2 linked regions of the Struthio camelus genome follow. The protein of the gene in region 1 interacts with the protein of each later gene in a pairwise test. Links are inferred from orthologs where the notes say so. Each region holds a gene or a part of one and is shown on either strand. Other genes may lie near its edges.

The links.
Region 2: the proteins of ABTB1 (region 1) and EEF1A2 interact in binary tests that used the Homo sapiens proteins (3 or more experiments, as listed by UniProt). The two-hybrid records come from large-scale screens. The link is inferred for Struthio camelus from reciprocal best matches to the Homo sapiens genes ABTB1 and EEF1A2.

The regions. Positions count from the first base shown.
Region 1 is NC_090955.1:7,648,831-7,656,946, forward strand, and holds the start of ABTB1 (ankyrin repeat and BTB/POZ domain-containing protein 1), read right to left. Parts: upstream 3,213-8,116; 5' UTR 2,009-3,212; coding exon 1,932-2,008; intron 1,622-1,931; coding exon 1,559-1,621; intron 496-1,558; coding exon 440-495; intron 1-439. UniProt on the Homo sapiens protein: May act as a mediator of the PTEN growth-suppressive signaling pathway. May play a role in developmental processes.
Region 2 is NC_090959.1:17,050,245-17,057,852, reverse strand, and holds the start of EEF1A2 (elongation factor 1-alpha 2), read left to right. Parts: upstream 1-4,042; 5' UTR 4,043-7,608. UniProt on the Homo sapiens protein: Translation elongation factor that catalyzes the GTP-dependent binding of aminoacyl-tRNA (aa-tRNA) to the A-site of ribosomes during the elongation phase of protein synthesis.

The sequences.
Region 1 (8,116 bases):
AGTTTGCTTTGCCTTGTTTGAAATAAAGGTGAAATGCAAAGGCTTTTAGTAAAGTCCTACGTATGAAGCAAGACTCTATCAGAACAGTAGAAGTTTTATACAGACAGTTCTCCAGAGGTGGTACAATTCTTGCAGCAACACATTCCCAATAGTAACACATCCTTGCGAAACATGAGCTGTGATTTCAGAAAGTCACATTGTCTAATGAGTCATCAGAGACAGCTTCCTTGTAGCAAATTCAAGCAGCAAGTAATCTGCAGGAAGGACCACAGAAATGGGTCCTGGATGACCGTGGGGTCCCTCTGAAGCCTGAGATCACTGATCAGATGCTTGGTTTTAATAGAAGAAGGTTTCACAAGAGACAGCTAGAAGGTGTACAGTCCCAACAGACTGGTATAGAGAAAAACATGGCACTCATAAGCAGGACACTTTTGCTCACCATTGGCTAGAAGATAGCGTACGAGCTCTTCGTGTCCACACAGGCAAGCATAATATCTGGAAATAACAAGAGAAAGAAAATTAGAGATATAACATGAAGAAAATTTCAGTGCTGGGGTACATCGCAGCATGCAGACCTCAGCACTGAGCTATCACTGACAAGCTTAGAAGATGATTCCTCACAGAGTGTGAAATTGCTCCCAAATAGCACAGAAGTCTGATCCCTGCAACACTGAGCAGGATCTGTCCTGAGCAATGCTAGGCCCTGCTGTCCTGCAAGGAGATCTCAAGGTCCCAGTCTTGGTTCAGCATCTTTTGTTGCACTGTGAGTTCATTTCACAGTGCAACACTCAGCAATTCCACCGCATTCTCAGAAACACTCTCTGCTCCTTTTACTGTCAGTCTGCTGCTGCCCTAGGATAATGAGGGAACAGCACTCAAAGCAGAGGTACAGCAAATGCACCTCTCAAAAGTTCTGCTTAAGATGGATTTGTTTTTCTCTTCCCACAACCTAAGCCTTTTATGACTCTCTTTCAAATGAGGACCTCAAACTAGCCTTGCAACCTGCACTGCAGCAGGCAAATGTTAGTCCACTTTTGCTCTGCAGAGATACTTCATATGCTAAATATATTGTGGATGTCTAAACACACTTTGAAATTAGCATGCGAGGAGGTACAAAGCCCATACTATCCTTCTCACTACCAGCATGGTGATTCTCCACTATCTACTGCAGGTCCCCAACCCCACTAGACAGACAGTAATCCCACAATAGCACTACATTTCACCAAGCAGAGCCTTTACCTGAAAGGCTAAAATGCCACAGAGTTTGAGAAAAAACAGCCTAATTGGGCCAAGAACAGACTGCTTAATCCAGGTAATTTGGTTACAAAATTAACCATGCTTCTCAGCGCTTCTACAGCAAATCTCCTTCAGATGGGAGGAGAAGGACGCATCTAGCACAGTACCCGCAGAGGAGAGAGGCAAAAACTCCTGGCCAAAACTCCCACAAAGCAGAACCAGAGATATTTTGTAACAGTGCTGCTAGGTGCTGATGGAGAGAGGACAAAGGAGCTCCAAAAGCCCTAGCCTCCCACCCAGCCTCTGAGGCTGCAGGACTCACAGAGGGGTACTGTCCCATTTATCGCGGACGTTGATTTCCACATCTCGCTGCTCAAGAAGGTATCTGGAAGAGAAGGGAGAGCAAAGTCATAACTTCATGCAGTTGCTCAGTCAGCCACGTTTCCCCTCTAAAAAGAGGCGACCTGTTTTGCATAGTAAATTCCGAAGGCAGGACGAAAACTTGCATGAGGCCAGGGGAAGCAATGGCTGAAGGGGCATCAGTCGAACACACGACCTGAAAAGCAACGTTCTGCCACACGGCTCGACAGCTCCCTTCCTGCTGACCCCTAATGACACAGCAATTATGAACGAAGCCTGAGCACTCCAATAATACCTTCATGTTCTCCTACAACGCTCACAGTCTCGACACTTACAAATAAGAGGCCAAATTTACAAGGCCAAAGCTGGACTCCCATCCTGCCTGTGGCTTTGCTGCCACAAGTAACATCATCAGTGTCTCTCCAGGCTGTCCTTAATTCCTGTCGCTTTCTTGCCCTGCACATTTGGGCTATATCAAACGCTGCCAACTCCTCCTCTTTGGCAACTCTAGAAGTTGGCCTTTGCCTTGCCTCCTACGCAAGCTGGCTCTTGTTATAGAGTGCCCTCAATTATTGCAACACAATTTCTCCTGACCATGAGTAAAGGTCCCCCTGAGCCTTCACAAAGATTCTCAAGTCATTTTCCTCTTCCATCACATCATTCCCCTCTTCTCCTCTCTCCATCTTTTCTTGTCTTAAACTTCACCTTCTTCTAACTATATTCAAAATCTAAAGCGATTCCTCTCCTCTCTACTCAGCCCTCTCTGCTCAGCTCCACGTTGTCATCTTGCCCCCTCTGCTTTGACAGCATTCCCAAACTGATCATTTCCCTACCCTCTGTTCTACGCTGTCATCTTACAACCTCTGCAAGGCCACCTGCAGGGCCTCCCCATCTAGGGAAAAGATACAATTTACTGCTTGCAGTGCTCAAAAAGCACTGGATATAAACATTCTCCAGACCTCTTCCATCTGCCTATTTATCCTTAACTAGCAAGCACCTTGAAACACAGATCACCTTCTGTTTATCTGGAGAGATCCACATGTCAGGAGCAAGAACAACTGAGCAGAGCTGAAAAGTGAAAAGCAGTCTTGGACTCAAACCCAGAGATGCAGCAAAGAACACCTCACGCGCTCTCGGCCTTCGGGTTGCAACGTTCCTTCACCAATGCAGACGAGACGGCCCTGTGACTCCCGATCTGAAATCGCTTCAGCTAAAGCACATTGCTTCAATAGTAGCAAGAGAACTTGAGCCAAAATTTAGCGGCCCGCTGTTTCTCAGAGAGAGCGCCACAGCCTCCAGGGCACGGCGTTCAAACGCTTCCACGACGACCGCGTTCCAGCGATCTCGTTCCCTACCACTGCAAACCTCACGTCCGACAGCAGCGAAGGAGCAAGGGAAGACAGCGGACCCTCGGCAGGACGCTCGCCGCCGCCAGCGCGCGCGTGAAGGAAGCGAACCGCAGCACCTGACACCCAGGGACCCGCGTTTTAAGAAAGCGGGTAAAAAACAAACAAACAAACCAAACCTAAGAACGAGAGGAAGGACGCAACAGAGCATCCCCCACACCCTTTCGGGGGAAAAAGGCGTTCATTTATTTTAAAAAGAGCAGTTTCTCCTCCCCACGTCCCAGCTCGCCGTGGCCGCGGCGACCCCGCGGGAGACACCCACCGCCACCAGCGGCGGCGGGGGCAGCGCGGCGGGCAGCAACCCGCCACGTTACGCGGCGAAACCGCCGCGGCCCGGCCCGGCCCGGCGGCAGCGGTCGGCCCCGGCCACCGGCCCCGGCTCCGGCCCCGCTCACCGCACACGGCTCACGTCTCCCTTCTTGCAGCTGGTGAACAGGTCGCTGGTGTCCATGGCCGGGGTAGGCCGCGGGGCGGCGGCGCCGCATTGACACTGCCGGGCCGGGCCGGGCCGGGGGGTGGGGGGGGGAAGGAGCCAGCGGACGGGGCCGGGAGGGGGCCGCGGCGGCGGGACGGAAGCGGCGGCGGATGTAAACACGGCGGTGGGCGGGGCGGGCGGGAGCGGCCCCTCGCGCCTGCCGCCGCGCCGCGCAGCGCCCCCTGCGGCCCGGAGGAGCGGGCTGGGCCGGGGCGGCTCTGGAACGCGGTGGGGGGGGGGGGGGGCGGGTTCTGGAGCGCGCCGGGGGGCAGGTGCTCGGGGGGGGAGGGGGGGATGTTCTGGAACGTGTCTGGTTGGGGGCTGCTCTGGAACGCGGGAAGGGGTTTCTGGAGCGCACAGGTGGGGGCTGCTCTGGAACAGGCTGGGGGGGTTCTGGAGTACACCTATGGGGGACTGCTCTGGAGCATGCGGGGGGGGGGGGCCTGCTGCAGAACGGGCGGGGGGGTTCTGGAGTGCACCTGGTGGGGGGCTACTCTGGAACATGCATGGATGCATTGTGGGGGGGCTGCTCCAGAGCACACCTAGAGGGGCAGACTGTTCTGGAGCTCAGCGGGAGGGGTGGTCCTCCTCTGGAAAGCATGGGGGGGGGGGGTTCCTGCTCTGCAACGCACACAGGAGGGGTTCTGCTGCGCAACGCACGGGGGAAGGTCCGTTCTGGAACACGCCGGCCCCATGGCAGCTAGGATAACCCACAGCAAGGGTGGGACAACCCCAAGGACACAGCGGCTGTGAGTTCCAGCAAAGGACTCGCGCCTGAGTCAGTGTTCACACACCCGGGAGGTGCATTTTATTGCAAAGAAAACCAAGCCACGACCCCGTGGCTTCCAGGGCGGACACAAGCGTTTTCGATGTTCTCCAGCAGCAACCCTCAAAATCAGCCACCGAGCCCCGCAGCGACCAGGGCGTCGAGACCGCGCACCCAGCCTGAGCTGACGGCTGGGAGCCCCATTTGTAGGCGAGATGAGCCCACAGGGGCTGCCGTGGGTCAAGGGGGGGCCGATGTGCGTGGTGTCTCTCTTGATGGAGCACCAGGTGCCGTGTCCCCCCTGCAGGGAGACGTTTGCTTGCCGGCTGGCGAAGACGGACTGGCACCCTTTGCCTAGAGGGCTCCTCGAGGTGGGATCTTGAACCATGTTCTCGACCCGACATGCACGTTGCAGAGTGCGGGTCACTCCACAGCGTCCCCCTACTTTCTGTGGGTCACAGGGCAGCCTGCCTGCCTAGCACGCATTGGGCTACCACCCTACGTTACAGACCCTGCTCTAGGCATCAGGGCAACAGCTGGGGGCAACTGCAGCTTGGTCAGGCCAGCTCGTATCTGCTGCCGCCTCGTGGAGGGGCGCGTCCCCGCTGGGGACAGCCACCCTGCTGACTGCAGCTGAGCCTCCGGCCAAGCACTGGTGCTCCCCGGGGTGCAGAGCTCCTCTCTGGAGAGCCACCTTCAATTCCCAGTCTCTTGATTTCTGGCCATGCTCCTGGAGGGGAAAAGTGGAGGAGAAAGCAGGAACAGGGCTGCAGCCCCGTATTGCTGTCCAGGGTCTCTGCACTGGGGACTCCCGGGAGCAGCCCATCTCATCGCTTTGCAGGCAGGGACACACTCACACGAGCCATCCCTCGCACGAGCCCCTCTGCTCATAAGTGCTTCCAGCAGCCCCCCGTGTGAATAAAACAGGTGACTTGAAAATAAATATCCATAGTTAAGAGGGGAGAAAAAAGTCCTTTTTTATTCTTTAACTCCCAGCAGCCACCAGGTGTCAGTGTGATCAAACAGACGGGACTACAGTGAAGTCCTAGTAGTGAGAAATAGATTTCCAGGAATTATTGTCTTCTCTGCTCTGTTGCCTGGCACACCCCTCTGAGAAGTCCAGCTTTGACAGCGTTTGTTAAAAACAAGTTTAACTACATTAAGGTGATAGAAAAGCTTCCTGTTACAAATGACAATATAAGGTTTCTCCTCCTCCTTAAAGCCTCCCCGTGCAGAGCTGGTAACCCAAGCCCTGAACAACAGAACCAGAGCGAAACAGGCTACCAATAGCCTCACTCTGCAGCACTTCCCAGCCCGCAGGTACCGAGAGATGACCCGTCCGCAAGGTTTGCGGGATAGGGACAACAGTGCAATTGACTTAACAAGATCAGCCTAGTGCAAAAAATAATACAAAGAAGAACAAATGGAAAAGGTATAAAAAGTATCTCCGTATTAAAATGAAATGCTCCTAACCAGTAGATTTCTGGAGCTAAACTGAGATCACACAGGCAAGCGCATCACGTCAGAGACATCAGAACATTGTTCTCAGCTTGCTGACAGTCACCCTTGGACGCTCTCAAGACACCCTGGAGCACTCCAGCTTCAGAAGAGAGCACTACAGTCTCTGGAATACGATCAGGCCCAAATAAGCCGGAGCAGCAGATCAGGAGAGCTTGCTAGCTGACAGCCTCAAGAGTCAGCATTGCTTTTTAATGAGCCTGGATGGCCTCCTTGGCCTATTTAAAGTTTGAAGACTTTAGACCAGATCAGGAGGTGCCGAGCCCAATTGTGACACAAGAAGCATTACTTTATCAGCACACCTTGTTGTTTCTCTGCATTAGTAAAGTGGAGAGAAAATAGGGCAGCAAAGCAGCTCTTAGCAATGAAGTGCACCAAGGAAGCGTTTTGTGGGTGAACTAGTTCACATTCGATTGGTGGCTTTATCTTTTTAATAGCCACCGAGTATTAAAAGTGTGTTTAATGAGGATTATTGGACTTATAAACATTTATACGGTGAAACTGCCTAAAGGCCACAGCTATGCCAGGCCTTGTTATGCTAAGTGCTATACAAACTCAAAATTTAACTCCATGCTTTAAATCACTTACCATGTCATAACAACAACTTACGTTTAACCCTGTGAGCCCCAAAGCGCCATCAACACAGTCCCTGAACTTGTGCAGGTTCACTGCACAGACCCACCGAACTGGGCAGAGGCTGTCAGTGAAGGGCTGTCAGAGCAGGGCTGCATGTGGCCTGCTCATGTCTGTGGAGCGTCTCCCCTCACCAGCCACCCACCGTCAACTGCTGAGGCGGGAGAGGGAACTCCTCCGGGCAGCTCTGCAACTCTACTGACAAGATAAAAAAGGAGCCAAGAGACACCGTCTCCTATATAACGCAGGGAAAGGTACGGAGGCAGGACAGAAACACTCAAAATTGGAATCTGGATAGAAAACCAAAGGTTATCAGCTTTCTTGAATCCATAAGAGACTGATATCCACATGGTCCTACATTGAAGTAATCTGCGATTCAGTCTGTATGCAAAGTGCTATGCAAAATGAAACTACAGACTCTTCTGTATCTTGACTTTAGGCACTCACATCAGGGATGAACATGCTAAAAATATCTGTACATACAGGGATAGATTTACAGGCCAAACATCAGGCCACATACCTGGGGTCCTTCTGTACAATGATTCCCTTAAAGACCAAACATGAAGCTGCATCTTGCACAAAGCAAGCAAGCAGCTAATCATAAATGGAAGCAAATACTATTGCCTTTGACCAAAGCGAGTCTCTCGATCCCTCGGTGACAGAAGAAACAAACGTTCTGGGATTTCAGGCTCACAAGTAGTTCCGAGTCTCAACTTAGGCAGGGCTCAGAGAACAATTATGCATATTCACGTGCCTTTTATCACACATCTTCAGGGAGCTGGGGCCTCAAAGCTGCCTGAGGCGTGCCTGAGAAAGTCATTGGGGAACTCTTAGATCTGATGCTGATCTCACCTAAACCGGCTTTTATACTTGTTTTAATGCAGCAATTTTAAAGATGTTACCCCTGATTTACACCAGTGTGACATTAAACACTTTCGCCTAAGGCAGGTTCCTGAAAAGGAAAAAACAAGGACCAGAAAACTATCTGTTTCTGAATTTTTACTTTTTTCCTGTTTAAAAGTCTCACATAGGCTGTACGTTCACCTCAAAAGATTAACTGAAGCCAAACTACCCTGGAAAATGGAAAAGGAGTGGAAAAGGCCTGCGAATCTAAGACTAAGACATAGGCAAGGGATACTTTGCTGCTGATTTCACAGGCTGTTAGGTGAAAGAGGCAGATTAAAGTCTTTTTTTGAGCAACTCTCCAGCCTAAAGCAGATTTCCAGCTAAGATGCTGCACCATGGCACCAAATTCTCTGCAGTCAAGCAGCCCAAGAAAGGTTAAAGTGCTCAAACTCTGCAAGCGCAACTTGGAGCTGTAGAACTGGAAAAGAGGTTGGGGCTGTTGGGGGTAAGAGGAGAAAAAGAGATCATATGGGGATGTTTTCCCCAGATGTAAACATCAGCCCATCCAGTTAGCAGCGAATGCTAGAGCACTACAAAACCTCTCTGCACACGCGGAATGCAAACGCTCTACCCAGGACATCAGGTGAGTCTTGGCTCCCCGTATCCCGAATGAGACAGGTTTTACCGCACCTGCAGGGATAGATCATGATCTTCGCTCTACAGCTATAAACCCAGATGCCAACAAGGTCAGGGTCTGGCTGCCGTAACCCCAGCTGGACTCTCAAAGTGAATTTACTCCCCAAAGCTGGACTCCTGGTGGCATACAGCCTCACCACCTTGTTTCTCGAGCCCAGCCACTACCAGAGAGCTACAGTA
Region 2 (7,608 bases), on another chromosome or scaffold:
CAGCCTTGGCCTTAATCGAGGTGGGAAACTGAGGCACGGGCAGTCAAGCCCAGCGCACAGGCGAAACCCCACCATCGCCAGGCGCCCCGAGTTGCCCAAACCGTGGCGGGACATGAGCCCCCAGCTCGGTGTGCCCCGAAGGGCGCTGGGCCCGGAGCCAAACCCCCACCGGGAGGGGCAGAGGCAGTGGGTGCTCTCGCTCCCCGGACCGTGCACGGCGCTGCCTGCTTTGCAGGGGCGAGATGGGCAGCGCCGGACACCCTGAGCAGCCCCCAGCACCGCATGCAGCGCCGGGCACCCCCAGCGACGCCGAGCACAGCATGCAGCACCGAGCACCCCCAGCACAGTGCGCAGCGCCCAGAACCCCCCAGCAACGCCCCGACCCCCCCGCGCACCTGGGTAGGGGGCGAGGCGAGGTGACAGCGAGGCGACGGCGCTAGGGCCGCGGGGCCCTCGGCGGCGGCGCCGCCGCCGCCCGGGGAGCGCTGGCGTGCGCGTCCGCTCCGCACGGACCCCGACGCAGCGCTGCCGGCCCCGCCCCAGCCGCGCTCTTTATATCCCCTCTGGCCCCGCCCACGCGACGCATCTCCGCCAATGGGACTCCGGGTCGCGAAGCACCGCCCCTTCCCTGGGAGGGGCGGGATGGCGGGGCTCCGCCCCCTCTCCCCCCACCCGCGCGGGGTCTGTGCGCAGCGCCGAGCACCCGGCGGGCGGGCGGCCGCAAGGGGCGGCTTTAATGCAAAAAAAACCCGAGCAAATTAAAAACTGCCTCGAACCGAGGTTCATTAAAGATGCTCTCTCTGGAAATCTGCTCTCGCTGCATGTGCCCCCCTCCCTCCCCAATGCGCGGTTTGCTGGGGTTGCTCTTGTCCTAGCCAAAACAGGAGGAAGCAAAACAAAAACATATATACATATATGTATGCACGTAAATCTATATATACACACACATATACAAAAAAAGAAAACCTTAAGTTAAAATTTAGCATTGGAAGTTAAATGTTAAAATGCAGCCTACAAATACTGCCAGCCCTAGAAAGTTGAAGAATTTAAATGTGTGATGATGCCGTTTCAGTACTTTGTTAATATTTAGCGAAAATATAGTGCCAACAACAAACAAGCTATCTAATGACCATCTTATGTAACGCGGCATTAAGAGAGAGCCAAGACAGCCTTTCTCACGAAATGCTTGCTCTGCAGAACCAAGGGGAAAAAAAGACAAAAAAAAAAAAACCCTAGCACAGTTCAATATTTGAAATTTCGTGGGAGAAAAAGATTTTAAAAATTTCAAGCAAAATATACCGGACTCAACCACATTTCAAATTAATCAAAAAAATAAATAAATAAAGCTTGAAGGGATACTGAACTGCGTCGGTTGTATTAGTTTCATATAAGAAAGGCTTGTTTGAGAAGAAGCAGCCTGCAACAAGGCCTAGGCACCTCCAGCGCTGAAGCACCGCTCCTCGACGCTTGGACACCAGTACAGTACGCTATATAAATAAAAACATACTGCTAAATAAAATATCGCTAAAATGCTGGAAGCATCGGTCCCAGCTCCAAACTTCAGACCCCAGAGGGCCTCGGCGCTCGGGTCTCGAGAAATTTATCTGACCTAGAATGAAAAAAATAGCCTAAAATTTGGGTGCTTCGGAGCAGCCAGGGAGGAATCACAGTGCTGACGGCAAGAATCCAGTTTGAGTTCCTGGGACGAAGCCTGCGCCGGGCACGTTCAGGAGACGAAGATACATTTCATTTGTAACCGGTCGAGAATCAATCGTTTTAAAAGCGGACGGATGACAAGATTTGGACGGATTTTCGCTGCGCTTTTCCTCTAATGAGAGCCTCCGAGTTTACTGCCGCTCTCTTTACAGCTGGCTTCTGAGCACCGTTTCGGTGTTTTTTTCTCTCCTTTAAGACCCCAACGGGAAGGATGTTAGGAGCCCCTTAGAGCCTCCGGTTGGGGATTCACGGCGGGAGGGAAGTATCTCGGCTCTCAGCGGGAAGAAAAATAGCTTTTCTGTCTGAACTAAGTGACTTGAAAAGAGGAGTCAAGGGTTCCCGCAGAGCATCCTGAGGACGAAGCCCCGCGTCCTTGCCGCGTGCCGCGGCCCGCTGCGCGGCGCGCACCCCGCTACACAGCAGCCTCCCCTTGCCTTCCGCGAGGCTAAAGGAAAGTTTTCAACTCCTTCGCTTGCACATGGCATCACTTAAACCCCGCTGTTACACGGGCTGCGCTCTCCGGAGGGGACCCCACGGGCGGACGCCGCCGCCGTCGGCCCAGCGCTCCCGCCTCGCTGCATCGCCGCCTCCAGCCTGCTGCAAAATCAGCTCCATCTCCCCCCCCCCCCAAAAAAAAAAAACCAGAAACAGCCGGTATAAACCTCCCACGGGGCTGCCCGGAGGTGGCATCGCCCAGGAGCCGGGTCACCATGCAGCGCGGGCAGCTGCTGCCACCTATGGATATAAATTAGCCTCGATGTTCAGCCCGGGTGCTCGGCTGAATGGGAAACGGGAGGGTGGGCACCGGCGGGAGCCTCCTGGCCGCGCAGGGCCACGCTCCCCTCCGGCGCCTGGCGGGCGCCCAGCGTGTCCGGCCGCGGGCCGAGCGCGGGCCAGGGTCCCCCTTGCACCACGCACGTCTCCCGAGTGCAGCCCGTAGCGAGTCCCAGGCTGCTTCGTTCGCTTGCGCCAAAAACTTAAGCCTCCGATCCGGGGCAAGCGGTGAGGAGACACGGAGCATCCAAGGCGGCGTAACGGAGGGTCAGCCACGCGAGCGCGACTCGGCGTCGCTCGTCCGACCAGGGCGTCTGTTTAACCCCCTTCGAAAAAGCCGTGAGATGTCTGGCTAGCAGCTACTACTTGCTGCGATAAAGCAGGCGCTAGAGAAATTTTGGTTACACAAGCAAGTTCCCACCTGCTGACCCCTCCGCTCCTTTGGCCAAGCCTTGGGGTCGAAGGACGGTGCGCAGAAGGGGACGGTTCAACGTGTGTGTCTAATCAGTAAAGCAATGTGCTAATCCGGGCAAATCTGGGAATTGCCTTGCAGAAACCAGCGGAGGAGCTGCTCAGCATTTATCTTTCCACAGAAAACTGTTAGGCCGGTGCCTCCTTTCTAGGATGAGCGCGTGCGATTTTGCTACCAATCCGTGATACAAAGCACGCAAACAAATCGATGGCTAATGTAATTCCGCAGGTTTCGATGCGGGTCAGCGCAGCAGTGAGTCTGCTCATTACTGTCTCCCTCTGGATGCGCCTGAAGCTTGTGCTGTTGGCCAGATGCTTCCATTAGCAGCCCTTCATCTACGGTGATGAGAAGATGCGGGCAGTGGGGCTCTCTCAGCTCAGTGGCCGCGGTTTAATAAGAAAAGCTGTCCCCTTGCATTGCTTTTCTTGCCTCGCGGACGTGAAGGGCTCTCCAAACGAGCGCAGCGACGGGCGGCAGCTTGATACAGCCCCGGACTCCCTCGCTGTACAAACAGTGCAGTCCGGTGCTGTGCAGCATGCCGAAAATGGCACTGAACCACAGGGCAGAGGCGTCTTATCTCCCTGCTGCTTGCCCTGCCTGGGGAACGAAGCGGCGCCCCGGGATGGGATCTCTCCCCGTCTCGGCGCGCGCTGAGATTTACAGGATCAGCTCCTCCGGCCGCTGCAGGTGTGACGTCCACCGCTCGCCCAGGCGCCGAAACTGCTGGGGCGTCCCGAAAGCAACGCATTCGAGACTACCGTATCAAGAGGCAAGTTTTCGCAGAGGACAAGTGCCTGTCTTGGCTGCTCCTCGGAGCGACAGCGGGTCAGACGGAGCAGCTGGATTGTATTCTGTGCAGCCTCTTTTGCGGCAACCGCGTCTCAAGGGAGCGCGAAGAAGCAGAGCGGCAACATTATAATAGCAAAGGGGAAGGTGAAGAGCGGAGAAGGAGTTAAAGTCGTCAGAGGAAATAGGCGTTTGGATGACGAGCTGCTTCGGCGCTGGATGTGGGGAAATGCTCCTAGGGGCAGGACTTTAGACCTCCGCTGATTTTGTAATCTGGTGCTGGCTGGTTTGCACGGCTCGGGGTCGGCGTTTCAGGCAGAGCAGGGTCTGCGCGAGCCGGCCTGGGCTCCGGCGCTGCTTTCGGGGTGGTTTTTACCTTTGAGACCACTCTTTCCAACTTGGCTGAATTTTGGCCAAGAGCCTCCTGCAAGCGATTTGCTGGGGACACGGCCACGCTATGCCCGGCCGTTATTAAAACGCTGCTCAAGTGACACCTTGCTCTGGTGCGCTCCCACGCCGGGAGCTCCGGGGCCGGGAGCCTTCCCGCGGCGGCGGTTAACCTAAGCCAGCCCTGCCTCGAGGCGATACTGTCCCACGAGAGCGCACGCCGCACCGGGGGCCCGGCACTGGGACCCCCCCATCATCCCGGATGAGCTAGGGAAGCCGGAGCCGAAGGCCTCGTTGTCTGGAGGTATTTTTAGGCTGCTTCATCCTGGAGAGCCGGATTCAGTTGCTAAGCAGACGCCGTTCCCAACCCTCCTCCAGCCCCTCAGCATCCCCGCTCGCTAGCGCAGGATTGGGCCCATCGGGCTGCTGTGTGCTGCCCTCACCCCGGCTGGCACCAAACCTTCGCTCGCCGAGCTACAAGGATGCCGGAGGGGGCACGTCTTTGCCCTATCTCAGCCTTGTAATTTCCCATCCGCTGGAGCGATTCGCCCGTCCCGGCACCTCTGCCCGTCCCGGTCCGGCGCGGTGACGCTGCGCCCAGGAGGACGGCAGGCACAGCAGCTTGCGGGAGCCCTCCGAGAACAGGGGCGACAGCGATCGCCGTCCCCAGCCGGCTGGGCTGCTGGAGGGCTTGGCCGTCTCGGCATCACCTCCAAAGTTTATTTTTAAACCTCTGGCTGTGGTTTAGCGGGATCAGCAGCGTGTGCTGCTGCAGCGCCTTGGGCCGTTCCCCGCTGCCGCCCCGCTCCTTCGCCGCCGCTGCCTGCCCAACGCTGCTGCCCTCGCCCGGAGCTGCCAGGCCTGACCCGCTCCCCGAAAGCCTTCTGCTCTCCGGCACCTCGGCCTGAGGAGCAGTAAGTCTGGCCCACGTCCGAGCCGCCCTGAATAGCAGCGTAAACATGCACCAAAATCCGCCAGGCATCACACCCGCGAATCCATCCCCTCAGAGCTGGTACCTTACTCCAAGGCCAATCCCTTTCCCTCGGCACCGGCCACGGCGCTGGGAATCGCCACGTGGCAGAGCCGTGGGCGGCTGGTTTCGTGGGGCTTTGAGCTCGCTTGGTTTGGGCACACAGTAACCTACAGCTGCTGCAACGGCGGGGTGCAAAGGCAGGGCTGGCGTGGAGGGAGCCGAAACCCCCATCATGCAAAGACGGAAACCTTACAGTCTTCATCCCTTCCCTTCCCTCCCCAAGCTCCTCTGCTGGCTGGTCCGATGCCTGTTGCTTATGGGGATGCAGAAAACAGCATGAGGCCCCACGTTTCTTCTTTTCAAGGCAAGTATCTCTCTTGCTTTGAAAGGCAAGGAGGAGGAAAATAGCAGCTTTTGCCCTCGGGAGATGCTCAAAGAGGTCATCCGTTGTGGCCATGCAGTCTGAGTCTCTGGTCCAGGCCTCGAGACAGTTCGCTGGCATTTCTCCATCGCGCCTCCAGCGTCCCCGTCGGCGAGAGCGGGGCTTCTGGAGGCTGTCGGGTCGGGCATCCCCTGTGGCTAACGCCTGCGTTGCTAAAAAACCCCGCCTTCAAACTGAGACGCGATGCATTTTGCAGAGTCAAAAATGCAACAGCTCGGCGAGCTGAACGCATTACTCATGGGAATAAACACCCCCGGCGAGAAGGCAAATTCAGACAGGCAGCTTGCGATGTTTACAGCCCAGTTACATACAAATTAAGACGCTGCGGATTACTCGTTCTCCCATGCAAACTGCAGGGGGCCTTCCGGGGGAAAAAAAAACCCCAAAAACCTCATTCATTATGCCTGGGCAAATGTGAATTTTAGCAGAGCTTAAAGCATCAGTCCCAAAGGTGGGGGCTGCGGAGTCGGCGGGAGCCGGTGCCGCTGCCCTGGGCATGGCGCGGGCGCTGCGTGGGCATCAGCCCTTGCCCGCAGCACGCAGGCAGCGGTGCCCTTCAGAGAGGAGTCTCTGTCTTCTCGAATGATCCCAAATCATTCGGTGATGGCTTTTTGCTAGGCTAAAAGAAGGGTGGGGGTACCAGAGACTGAAGAGGACGCATGGGAACGGCTTCACCCGCCACCGGGAGCCGTTCCCGAGCCAGATGGATGCAGACAAGGCGCTAAACTTCCAGCCGCCCCCAGATTTTGGCTGTCCGGGTTTATTTTTTTTTGTGCATAGCTGAGGGTTTAAAGACAGATTAGTAATATTTTTCAGATGCTTGGTCAAGCATTGGGGGGAAGTGGTTCCCCTCTGGCGTGGAAACCATGCCAAGTGCTTGATGATCCAAAAGGATCGAATGTGTTCGACCTGAAACCCTTTGCCCCGGAGCCGGAAGGCGCGCGAGACGCCGGCGGACCTCAGCAGACGGCTATCACTTTAAGTCTCGCAGAGGCTGGGCATCGCGTGGCTCAACCTAGCCCGGATTAGCCAGGTCTGACGGCGCTCTATCCTTTCCGTGCCCTGGACTATTTATAGTCTGATGGGCTGTCAGGCTCTGTTTCATTGTAGAAATAAAATGCACGCTACGGGTAGACTCTGGCCCGGTTTCCGTACGTGCCAGCAAGGCAGACTGGGCGCCACGGTGCACAACCTGCTTGTCCAAAGCAGACATGAAACTGCAAACATGTCTGTACGGGAAGGATGATCCACCTGCGCTCCCGAGCGGCGCTCGGACAGCGGCCAGGTTCTCAGGGGCGTCTGAGTTGGGCGGCGTTTGGCTGGCCTTAGGCTCCCCAGTGCTCTCATGAATTTGTCCTGCGTGGTTACCTGCCATGCTATTTTTAATGTTTGCTAGATGCACTCTTCATTTCTCTTTCTTCTGTCTGGGGAAAAGGGTAAAAATTCAAACCAGCTATTTTTACTGGAGAAAAAAAGGATACAAAAGAGGCCCATTACACACTCTCCATATCCCTGGGCTTGCAGGCAGACAGACCCTGGGTTTTGCTCTATCCTGTGACTTCAATGAAGGCCGAAGTCTTTACCAACGGACCCAGGCTGGGTCTCACCGCAGGCAATTCCCAGGCTGGCTGCAGTCATTGCATTGAAAGGGGAGATTATTCTTGGCAAAGCACTAAAACACATGCAGGAGGAGCAGGGAGCTCAAAAACATGGAGCAGGCGGCGTCCCCTGCGTGGTACTGCACGGGCCGTTAACCCGGATCGAAGCAGCACGAAGGGGCTGCAGGAGCCGCAGCGGGAGTTTGGCCTCTTCAGCAGTGCCGAGATTTCACCAAAGGGGTTAAACTTGTGTCGGGCACCAACGTCAGTAGGAAAACCTGAAGCCTCTGGCAGCGCTGGGGTACCCCAGACCTGCGGCAGCTCCACTGCTCCTAGCGGGACCAGCTCTGAATGAGTCCCTTTAAACATTGCCTTAAGCCTTCCTTTTGGAAGTTTCTTTTTACTTTTTCTGACAGTCAGTGCATTATATTTGGCACAAGGAATGCTGCATAAAAACATG